2 linked regions of the Macaca fascicularis genome follow. Each later gene encodes a partner of the first gene's protein in a complex. Links are inferred from orthologs where the notes say so. Each region holds a gene or a part of one and is shown on either strand. Other genes may lie near its edges.

What was found. The genes of interacting proteins can lie anywhere in the genome.
Region 2: METTL3 (region 1) and WTAP share a complex: the UniProt entries of both Homo sapiens proteins name them as parts of the WMM complex. The link is inferred for Macaca fascicularis from reciprocal best matches to the Homo sapiens genes METTL3 and WTAP.

What each region holds. Positions count from the first base shown.
Region 1 is NC_088381.1:89,184,616-89,190,293, reverse strand, and holds the start of METTL3 (N(6)-adenosine-methyltransferase catalytic subunit METTL3), read left to right. Parts: upstream 1-2,458; 5' UTR 2,459-2,568; coding exon 2,569-2,668; intron 2,669-5,678. UniProt on the Homo sapiens protein: The METTL3-METTL14 heterodimer forms a N6-methyltransferase complex that methylates adenosine residues at the N(6) position of some RNAs and regulates various processes such as the circadian clock, differentiation of embryonic and hematopoietic stem cells, cortical neurogenesis, response to DNA damage, differentiation of T-cells and primary miRNA processing.
Region 2 is NC_088378.1:11,244,463-11,249,468, forward strand, and holds part of WTAP (pre-mRNA-splicing regulator WTAP), read right to left. Parts: intron 3,425-5,006; coding exon 3,366-3,424; intron 1,840-3,365; coding exon 1,712-1,839; intron 1-1,711. UniProt on the Homo sapiens protein: Associated component of the WMM complex, a complex that mediates N6-methyladenosine (m6A) methylation of RNAs, a modification that plays a role in the efficiency of mRNA splicing and RNA processing.

The sequences.
Region 1 (5,678 bases):
CCAGACCTCTTAAGGTCTAGAACTCAGGGAATATCACTTCTGCCACATTCTTTTGGTGAAAGCTAGTCAGAAGCCTAGCTCAGATTCAAGAGGAGGGAGAATAAGCTTTACTTATTGATTGAAAGGGGGCAAAGTCACACTGCCTGAAGGCAAGTGGGTGGGAGGCATTGTTGTGGCCAACTCTGGAAGCAATCTACCACAGCAGATATGAGGAAAAGTTCAGAAGTGTAATGCATGCAGCACCCATCTGCTCAAAATTAGGCTTACACTCTGTTTTGACTAGAAGAAGTCTGTCTGCATTTTTCCTTCCTCCTCCTCCTCCTCCTCTGTGGCTGCTGGGCTGACAAGAAAGCAGTATCTTTCTTTTGAGCAGCAAACTGGTCAAGAGGAGTCTAAAAAGAATCTCTCTATAAGAATATCATAAGAGACCTTCCTGTACTTCAAAAAATTTGCCCAATATGCCACTGTAATAATTTACCCAGAGTTAATGTGAAAGCAAAAACTTCTGAGAGCTGCCCTTGATTTGACTGACTTTCAGGAGTACTTGTGCTACTTCTTTGCACCACTGCCCTCCAGCAGTGAAAGAGTGAGGCTTATCTTAATAAAACAAAAACAAAAAAACAAAGTTACACATCCCAAAAGACAGTGTAAATTCCCTAAAAGTAAATTAAGTTCAGAAAATGAGATGGAAATGAGTATTTTGATCACTACTAAATCTCCATAGTATCTAACACATAGTAGTCACTCAATACTTACTGAATGGATAAAAGTCATATTACAATCTTTCAATAGCTCCCTTCATATTCACCCCTTCCTTTTCATTACTGTTCATAACCAGCTTTTAGTTAAAGTTCTTCTCATCAGACACTTAGTTACAATGGACTACTAACCATCTTTCTCCTCTCCTAAATCTCCTTCCTCCTCACTTCAATTTATCTAGAACAGTAGATCAATTTTGAAACATTTCTATTTACAAACTTTAATTGTTTCCTATTGTATTCTGAATAAATTGCCAAGTCTTTACTCAGGTACCATGTACCTTCTGCAATCTGGCCTCAAATTTGGGAACCTAAAATTTCTCCCAATATTCCCAAATACAAATCTTTTATGTTCTGGCGAACTAATCCGGATTGACATAACACACACCGTGCTTTCCTACCTCTAGTCTAGACCTTTGCCTTTATCATATTCTAGACCTGGATTTCCCTCCTATACCTTCACCTACTGAAAACTTAGCGGTCACTTCAAGCCTGCACCTTGATGCCAGCTTCTTTCCAATGTCTTCCTGGGTCCTTAAACTTGCAGTCCTCCTCTTCTTTGAAATTACGTTTGTTGTTGTTGTTGTTTTGTTTTTGTTTTTTAAAGAGTCTATGCTCATGCTACCTCATGCTGTAAAGATGGTTCAGTATTAATAAACTGGCTCATAGCTCCTTTACCAGATCATAAACTCTTTGAAAACAGGAGCCATGCCAGTCAAACTATTTTTTTTGTATTTTTTGGACACAGTGTATGGCATCATGTAGACATTGGATAAGTCAGTGATTCTGGAAATGTTTCCATTCAGGGAGCTCCATTAAAAAAAAAAAAAAAAGGCCAAGCCGGTGGCTCACACCTGTAATCCCAGCACGCTGGAAAGTCAAGGCAGGCTGATGACCTAAGGTCACGAGTTCAAGACCAGCCTGGCCAACATGGTGAAACCCCATCTCTACTAAAAATACAAAGTTAACTGGGCGTGGTGGCAGGCGCCTGTAATACCTGCTACTAGGTAGGCTGAGGCAGCTAGAATCTGGGAGGCGGAGTGAGCTGAGATCACACCACTGCACACCAGCTTGGGTGATAAGAATGAAACTCTGTGTCAGGCCGGGCTCAATGGCTCACGCCTGTAATCCCAGCACTTTGGGAGGCTGAGGTAAGCGGATCACGAGGTCAGGAGTTCGAGACCAGCCTGGCCAACAAAGTGAAGCCCCTGTCTCTACTAAAATACAAAAATTACCTGGGTGTGGTGGCACGCACCTGTAATTCCAGCTACTCTGGAGGCTGAGGCGGGAGAATCACTTTAACCCGGGAGGCGGAGGTTGCAGTGAGCTGAGACCACGCCATTGCACTCCAGCCTGAGTGACAGAGTGAGACTCCATCTCAAAAAAAAAAAAAAAAAAAAAAAAATCTGTACTATACGGTGTTGCTCTTTATGAGTGCTATTTTAACATAGGTTACCTCTCAGGACTCCTCTCCGAATATTCAACATGGCCGCATGCGCGTCTATAAGCAACATGGCCGCTCTGCCAGTCACCAACATGGCAACCACAGCCTCACTGTGCCCGGAAGCAAGAGAGAGCAGGTAATAAAGACTATATTGGCCGCTCTGCCAACACCTAACGTGGCTCTCTTTAGAGCTTCCAAGAAAGCGCGACACCGGAAATGACTTTTCTGTCTTGCTCATCTCTAGGGGTCATTTTCCGGTTAGCCTTCGGGGTGCCCGCGTGAGAATTGGTTATATCCTGGAGCGAGTGCTGGGAGGTGCTAGTCCGCCGCGCCTTATTCGAGAGGCGTCAGGGCTGGGAGACTAGGATGTCGGACACGTGGAGCTCTATCCAGGCCCACAAGAAGCAGCTGGACTCTCTGCGGGAGAGGCTGCAGCGGAGGCGGAAGCAGGACTCGGGGCATTTGGGTGAGGCACTGGGCTGCTGGGGCCGAGGCTCAACTGGGGAGGACGGGCGGGATCCCTAGAGAAAAAGCTCCAGAGTTACTGCCCTTTACCAAACGGCCATTTCTATAAAGCCTCGTACATTGGTACTCCATCTCCCCCTTCAGCAGCACAGACCTTCGCCCTTCTGCAAGTAGTTCGCTGTTCCTCCTCACCCTGGGCCTCGGTTCTTCTTGCTCACTTCTATCGGACGGATGCTTGAGCCCCACCCTCGTCCTCCTTGCCCATTCCTCTTTAGACTACGAGGACGTCGCCTTTGTGAGGCTTCTCAGCCCCCTATCCCACGAAGCAGCAAGAACCCCTTTTTGTTGCTGCTATGGCGCTTTGTTCCCTCAGTTACAACGACTATTTTGTAGTGGTCATTTTTTGGCACCTGTGGGTACGGTAAGCAAGGAATGAACCTTCATATCCACAGTGTCCAATTTAGTGGCCCGTACAGAGTGGCATTCGGTGTTTTTGAATGAGTACCCCTACCGGCATTGTCTTAGCAATTTACATACCTAGCAGGAACCTGAAAACATTTGTGTTTGATTTCCAAACTTTTTCTCCTCTCCTGTTGCCCCTATGTCGCGATCATAAAACTTGAAGGAAATTTAAAAGATTGTTAAGTTCACTCTTATCCACTCCTTACCCCCAGGACAAACTCTGAATTATTTAAGGCAAACTAGTAACAAAGCTCTGCAAAAATAGTGACTCAATATCACCCTTGTGATAGATTGTTCCAATATTTGTCAGTATCTTCAACTCCATCTCTAAATCTTGTCTAGATCATGTTAGGTTCATGTGCTCATATTCTGGCCCCTAGAAATAGAAGATACACTGGCAGGATCCTCTCACCTAATTAATTATCCTTTCTTAGCTACAGTGTTCATGGGTCTAACTAGACAAAAATAAGTAAGAAATTGCCCCTGTCCTCAAGAATTTTAAAAACCATAGGATTCAAAGGTAGATGCTTACAAAAAGGAATATGATAGGATATATGTATGAAACCAAACGAATGAATCTACATTCTGTACAGTGAAGAGAACTAACAAGAGCTGGTGTAGGTAGTGAAGCCATCAAAGCCATCATAGTGGAATTGGCACTTGAATTTGGCCTTTATGGCTATATAGGACCTAGATAATTAAAGAGGTAAGAGGGGAGGATAGTAGAGTAAGAAGTGCAAGTCATTTGATCAGGCAATAATTAGTAGTCAAGTCTCGGAGTAGTTCCTGAATTACCTAAGAGGCAGAGTTTTTTTTTTTTTTTCCTTGCTCTAGAAACTTCATTGATTTATTTATAGATACAATTTTTTGTTTTGTTTTGTTTCCCCTATTCTTTGGTTTTCTGTTTTGAAACTTTTTAAAAATGTGCATAAATGATGCCAGCGACTTTTTTTGCTTCTGTTTTTGAGATAGGGTCTCTCATCGTTGCCCAGGCTGGAGTGTAGCAGTCCTCCCAGCTCATCCTGTGAGTAGCTAGGACTACAGGGGCATGCCACCATGCCTGGCTAATTTTTAAATTTTTAATAGCGATAAGGTCTCATTATGTTGCCCAAATTTGTCTTGAACACCTGGGCTCAAGCTGTCCTCTTGCCTAAGCCTCCCAAAGTGTTTGAATTACGGGTGAGAGCCACCATATCCAGGCTATTTAATTTTCTTGTGGAATCTTTTCCCTTTCAGTAATGGCAGTTGCAAAAAGGGACCTGAGGATCAGGTAGTTGTTTGTTTCAACAGAGTGATCTGCAAAATTATTTAGTTAGTTAGAGACAGAGTCTCCCTCTGTCACCCAGGCTGGAGTGCTGTGGCATGATCATGGCTCACCGCTGCCTTGACTTCCCAGGCTCCAGCAGTCCTCCCACTTCAGCCTTTCAAGTAGCTGGGGCCACAGGCGTGTGCTACCACGCCCAGCTAATTTTTGTATTTTTGGTAGCCGGGGTTTCACCATGTTGCCCGGGCTGGTCTCTGAACTCCTGAGCTAAAGCAGTCCACTCGCCTTGGCCTCCCAAAGTGCTGGGATTACAGGCGTGATGAGCCACCAGGCCTGGCCTACAAAATTAACTTTTAAAAAGCCACTATATTGGTGTACTACATCATTGATTACTTTGTGTTCACGTTTCTGTCGTTTTGTAACAGACCATCCTCTGTCTGTGGTGGTGGTGGTTGTTTCTTGGTTTTAATTGTTCCTCATCATACTTATTTTCTTTTTTTGAGACGGAGTTTTTGCTCTTGTTTCCCAGGCTGGAGTGCAATGGTGCGATCTCAGCTCACCGCAACCTCCACCTCCCAGGTTCAGGCGATTCTCCTGCCTCAGCCTCCCGAGTAGCTGGGATTACAGGAATGTGTCACCACTCCCGGCTAATTTTGTATTTTTAGTAGAGACAGGGTTTCTCCATGTTGGTCAGGCTGGTCTCGAACTCTGGACCTCAGGTGATCTGCCCGCCTCGGTTTCCCAAAGTGTTGGGATTACAGGTGTGAGCCACTGTGCCGGGCATCGTACTTCTTTATACTTTTCCATTTCTAAATTCATACTCTTTCAATGAATGATTCTAATTGTTCTTGGTCATTTTAAGCTTCATTTCATTTTTCTTTTTTGTTGTTTTTTGTTTTTTTGGGTTTTTTTTTGAGGCGGAGTTTTGCTCTTGTTGCCCAAGCTGGAGTGCAATGGCACGATTCTCCTGCCTCAGCCCCCCGAGTAGCTGGGACTACAGGTGCATGCCACCACACGTAGCTAATTTTTTTGTATTTTTAGTAGAAACGGGGTTTCACCGTGTTAGCCAGGATGCTCTTGATCTCCTGACCTCATGATCCGCCTGCCTCGGCCTCCCAAAGTGCTGGGATTACAGGCATGAGCCACTGTGCCCGGCCATTTCATTTTTCCATGATATTAGCTACATTTTGGTATTAGCCAAACTTTTTGCTGTATCAGACCTAACTACTAGAGCCTTGATACTTTCATCCAGGTCCTTGCTAAACATGTTTAATATTTTTGACAC
Region 2 (5,006 bases), on another chromosome or scaffold:
AGGCGGAGCTTGCAGTGAGCTGAGATCTGGCCACTGCACTCCAGCCTGGGCGACAGAGCGAGACTCTGTCTCAAAAAAAAAAAAAAAAAAAAAAATTCCAGGTCAAGCAGACAAGAGTGATGAGGTATCACCAAAGGCCCTGACCAGGCATAATATGATCAAAACCGCCAGTGTATATAGGACAGATGGAGAATCAGAGGTGCATGAATAGCACACACCAACTATGATGTCAAGAGTAGGAATCTGGAACAGAAAAGGAAAAAGACATTCCGATCCTATGAGATATTACCATCAACACCATCTATTCACAATCTATCTCCCAAGTGCTAGCAGTCTAAAGGTAAGATCCATTTTTCGTGAAAAGGGAAATTTGTTAAAAAACATTCATAAGTAACTGGAGAAAAAAGTATCAGTGGTGTGAGAATTACAACAAAACTGACAGAAACAAAAGAACAAAATGTGGTGAGAAGGTAGAGAAAATGATAATGGGCCAGGTGTGATGGCTCACACCTATAATCCCAACAGTTTTGGGAGGCCAAGGAGTAAGGATTGCCAAAGGCCAGGAGTTCAACCTGGGCAACATAGGGAAGACCCCATCTCTACAAAAATTAAAAAATTAGCTAGGCTTGGTGGCACGTGACTATAGTCCCAGTTACTCAGGAAGCTGAAGTGAGCTAGGATTATACCACTGCACTTCAGCATGGATAAGAGGCCCTGTCTCAAGAAAAGGGGGAAATAACAACAAACTAAAACAACAACAACAAAAACAAAAATAAACAAACAAAAAAAAGGGAAAGAAAATGATAAAAGTCAGCCTTTAGCAAAGCAAAATGTAAAGAAGTCATTTAGTAAAAAGTGAAAGAGTAAATAGGTACTTTTGTGGAAATTTAAACAATCTCTGTACAGGAAGTAAAAGGACTGTGACTGGGCCTTAAGGAACACTCTATTGGTAAAACAAACAGGAAAAGGACTGTGCCCATAGATTTTTGCTGTCTCCAGTGATCAGAATACTACCTTAGAAGATTTTAATAACACATTAGAAGACTTCAATATGTATCAAATGAATGGAGAGTACCCAAAGAATTGAAGAAACATTCAGATTTTAAAATCAGAAACAAGGATACAGCTGCCTCTAATTATTTTGTATAATTACACTGTAAGATTGAGTCTAAACTACCAGAGCTGGATGATCAATTATGTCACTAGATTTCAGATCTACATAGACATAGTAAATACTACACAGTACACATCAAAGTTCTAACAATTAAAAAGGACACGTTGAAGAAGTTGCTGGCACTAGGAAAAACAGTTCTATACATAGAGGGGACAAGAGAGCAGAGGTAAAGTCATCAGATGGCTTTCCTAACCAGTGAAAGTAAAGCAATAAGGAGCAAATGCTCTTTTATTGATTATACCCTCAGACACCAAGATATCTGAAAAATGTCTGGAATTGATGAACTAATATTCACAATGCATGAAAATTTCAAAACACAACTTAAAACTATTGCCTTCTTGGCCAAAAAAAAAATTTGTTTAAATGAAGAGACATTATCAAAATTTTTCACCTGGTATACTTAACGCTCTAAGTGTACATACCTATAAAAAAAAAACCTCTTATATTTAGTATTAGGTGTTTAAAATTAACAAGCAATAAGGCAGACTAAAAACCAATTCCTCAACTAAAGACATTTATATAACTTGAAATACTTACAGTACACTCTTGCATCTCTTGTTCCTTGGTTGCTAGTCGCATTACAAGGATGTTTTCCCTGCGTGCAGACTCCTGCTGTTGTTGCTTTAGTTTTTCTTCAGACTCTCTTAGGCCAGTTACATCATTAGCTGATGATTTAAAAAATAATTATAAATATAATTTTAAGATCAAGTTCAAATACTTCTGTCAAGAACAATTAAAAACTAGGGTCAAAAAATTAATCAAGTCTTTAATTTCCATCCTAACTACTTTTATAACAAGCAAATTATTTCCTGGTCATGACAGCTCATTTAGAAGGCAAGGTGTCATAGTGCTCCATGACTACCAACTGAATTATGTTTTCATAGTTTCATCTATTCCCAACAGAAGACAGGAAACATTTGTGTTTTACAGTATGCACAAAATCCTGATGAGTATGTTTTAACCTATTTAATATAAAAATGCTGTCTGGGCACAGTGGCTCACGCCTGTAATCCCAGCACTTTGGGAGGCGAGGCGGGTAGATCACCTGAGGCCAGGAGTTTGAGACCAGCCTGACCAACATGGTGAAACACCATCTCTACTAAAAATACAAAATTAGCCGGTCGTGGTGGTGCATGTCTGTAATCCCAGCCACTTGGGAGGCTGGGGCAGGCGAATGACTTGAATCTGGGAGGTGGAGGTTGCACTAAGTCCAAATTGTGCCACTGCATTCCAGTCTGGGCGACGGTGCGAGATTGTCTCAGATAAACAAACAAATAAATAATATGATAGTAACTGCTGGACAATTTGTATTTTAAACTTTGAGGCAGGATCTTATTCTGTTACCCAGACAGGAGTCCAGTGGCACAATCAGGGCTCACTGTATGTAGCCTTGACCTCTCAGGCTCAAGTGATCCTCCTGACTCATTTTTTTTTTTTGGTAGAGACAAGGTCTCCCTATGCTGCCTATGCTGGTCTCAAACTCCTGGGCTCAAGTATCTTCCCACCTTGGCCTCTCAAAGCGCTGGGATTATAGGTGTGAGCCACTGTGCCCAGCCTTAATCATTCATAATGTTCATGATTTCTTTGGATAACACAGTCACGTAAAATTAGAATTTCAGGGTATTAACCCTTCTGAAGTTAGAAAACAATATATATTGGTTTTTATACTCAACAAATAGTATGTGGTTCAAACAGTAAAAACTGAGACTAAAATGGCTTAAAATGATAAACTTTGTTATTTTCAGCAGATTTAAAAAATCTGTAATTATATATTACATATAATTAAGTTATACATATTAATTTAACCTGTCATAAATCTGTTACTAGTTGCTTCTATTTATTTCTCTTCTAGACTAGTAACTCACGCTTCAAGTCAAATTCCTATGTAGAAGGGGTTAGGGACAGGTAAGAAAAGTTTCAAGTAGTTCTGAGTTACTGTATCTATACTCAGAACCTTGCATATAATTTTGCTAAGTCACGCCATTACATGAGTATTACATGTCTGTTTTCTCCAATGACTATGTCTCATTCACCTTTATATTTTCTTGCACCCAAAAGTGCCTCTGTATAGTTCTTGTAATAAAACACCAGAAAAATTACATTTGCTTTAATAAAACCAATTACCCTTTTGATTGTAACAACGATCAAAAGGAGATTATTCAGTCTTTAAGAAGCTAAAACTCAAACTTACAGTTAAGATCTGTGTACTTGCCCTCCAAAGCTTGTACATATGCTTCATATTGTTTCCATCTAATAAAAAAAATCCATACATTAGTTGTTATAATAAAATAGCTTTTATTAAATAAACTAGAAGATATCTATAAACTCACAGATTTTAGTAATACTGAGCATTCTGCTGGATGATTTTTCATTTTAAATCCTTTTCTTAGACAGAGTCTCGCTCTGTCCCCCAGGCTGGAGTGCAGTGGCACAAACAGGGTCTGGGCTCAAGCGATATCCCTGCCTCAGCTTCCTGTAGAGCTGGGACCAAAGGCACATGGCTAATTTTTTGTAGAGAGGGGGTCTCACTGTTGCCCAGGCTGGTCTTGAACTCCTGGGCTCAAATGATCCTCACACCTTGGCCTCCCAAACTGCTGAAATTACAGGCCTTAGTCACCACATCCTGGCCCAAATCTAGTTTAACTGATAATAAAGTAGTCCACTCATTATTCCTTCCCATTTTACAGGAAACAGGTAAAAGGAGATATATAGAGAAGGTGTTTTCTGCTGAGAACATGCCAAGCGTGCTCTGGGTGAGATCAAACTCCAGATTTGGTTTGATACTTTGGTATCACTGGTGATGTTCAGGATAATCCTGGATTATAGAAAAAAAAATCCTACTGCTACTTTCATATGTTGTCCCCTTAGAACAAAAGGCATATTAGAAATGTGCCTAATTATGTAGAATTGAAGGTTTTTTGGCTCTTTTGTGAAAATACCATGTGACTCTTCTCAAGGTAATATCCATTTCTGCCTGTAAACACAGGGGGAGAATACAACATTTTTCAAGACTGTAATTTAACAATCACATCTAACTGGCAGAAACCTGCATGCCACACGCTATCGGAATACAAGGGCACCGTTTTTCTTCATTATACTTCTCTACCCTGAATATATACACTGCTAAGTCCTCTTAGCAATAAAGATTTTTCCTAGACTTATTAGGCAGTTCCTAATGGAAAGTACCCTGCCCTGAATGTCTGTTCTCCTGCATACTTAAGAGCCATGTTTTCAAGCTGCTCTTCAGGTACAGTTAATTAAAATTTGGCTTTAGAAAACCATTTTATAATCTTAAAAACAGGCTTGCCATGAGTTAATAATGTTACAACATAATGAACAAAAAGGCTCACGCCTGTAATCCCAACAGGGGATTTTTTGGGAGGCCAAGGCGGGCGGATCATGAGGTCAAGAAATCGAGACCATCCTGGCCAACACAGTGAAATTCCGTCTCTACTGAAAACACAAAAAAATTAGCAGGGCATGGTGGCGCATGCCTGGAGTCCCAGCTACTTGGGAGGCTGAGGCAGGAGAATCACTTGACTGGAGGCGGCAGTTGCAGTGAACTGTGATTGCACCATTGCATTCCAGCCTGGCGACAGAGCGAGACTCTGTCTCAAAAAAAGAAAAACCTTCTTAATACCAAACTAATCCACTTTCTATATAAACACTACTGTTAAGCTAAAAGGTCATGCTTTGTTTTTATGGCACTTACAACCTAGGACACGTACAGTTTACCAAATATTTGGGGATGTATAAGAGAAAGGTCTCAGTGGAGACTATAAAAGAACAATTTATTTTAGAAGAACAGAAAAATATAAAAACTGAAGCAAGA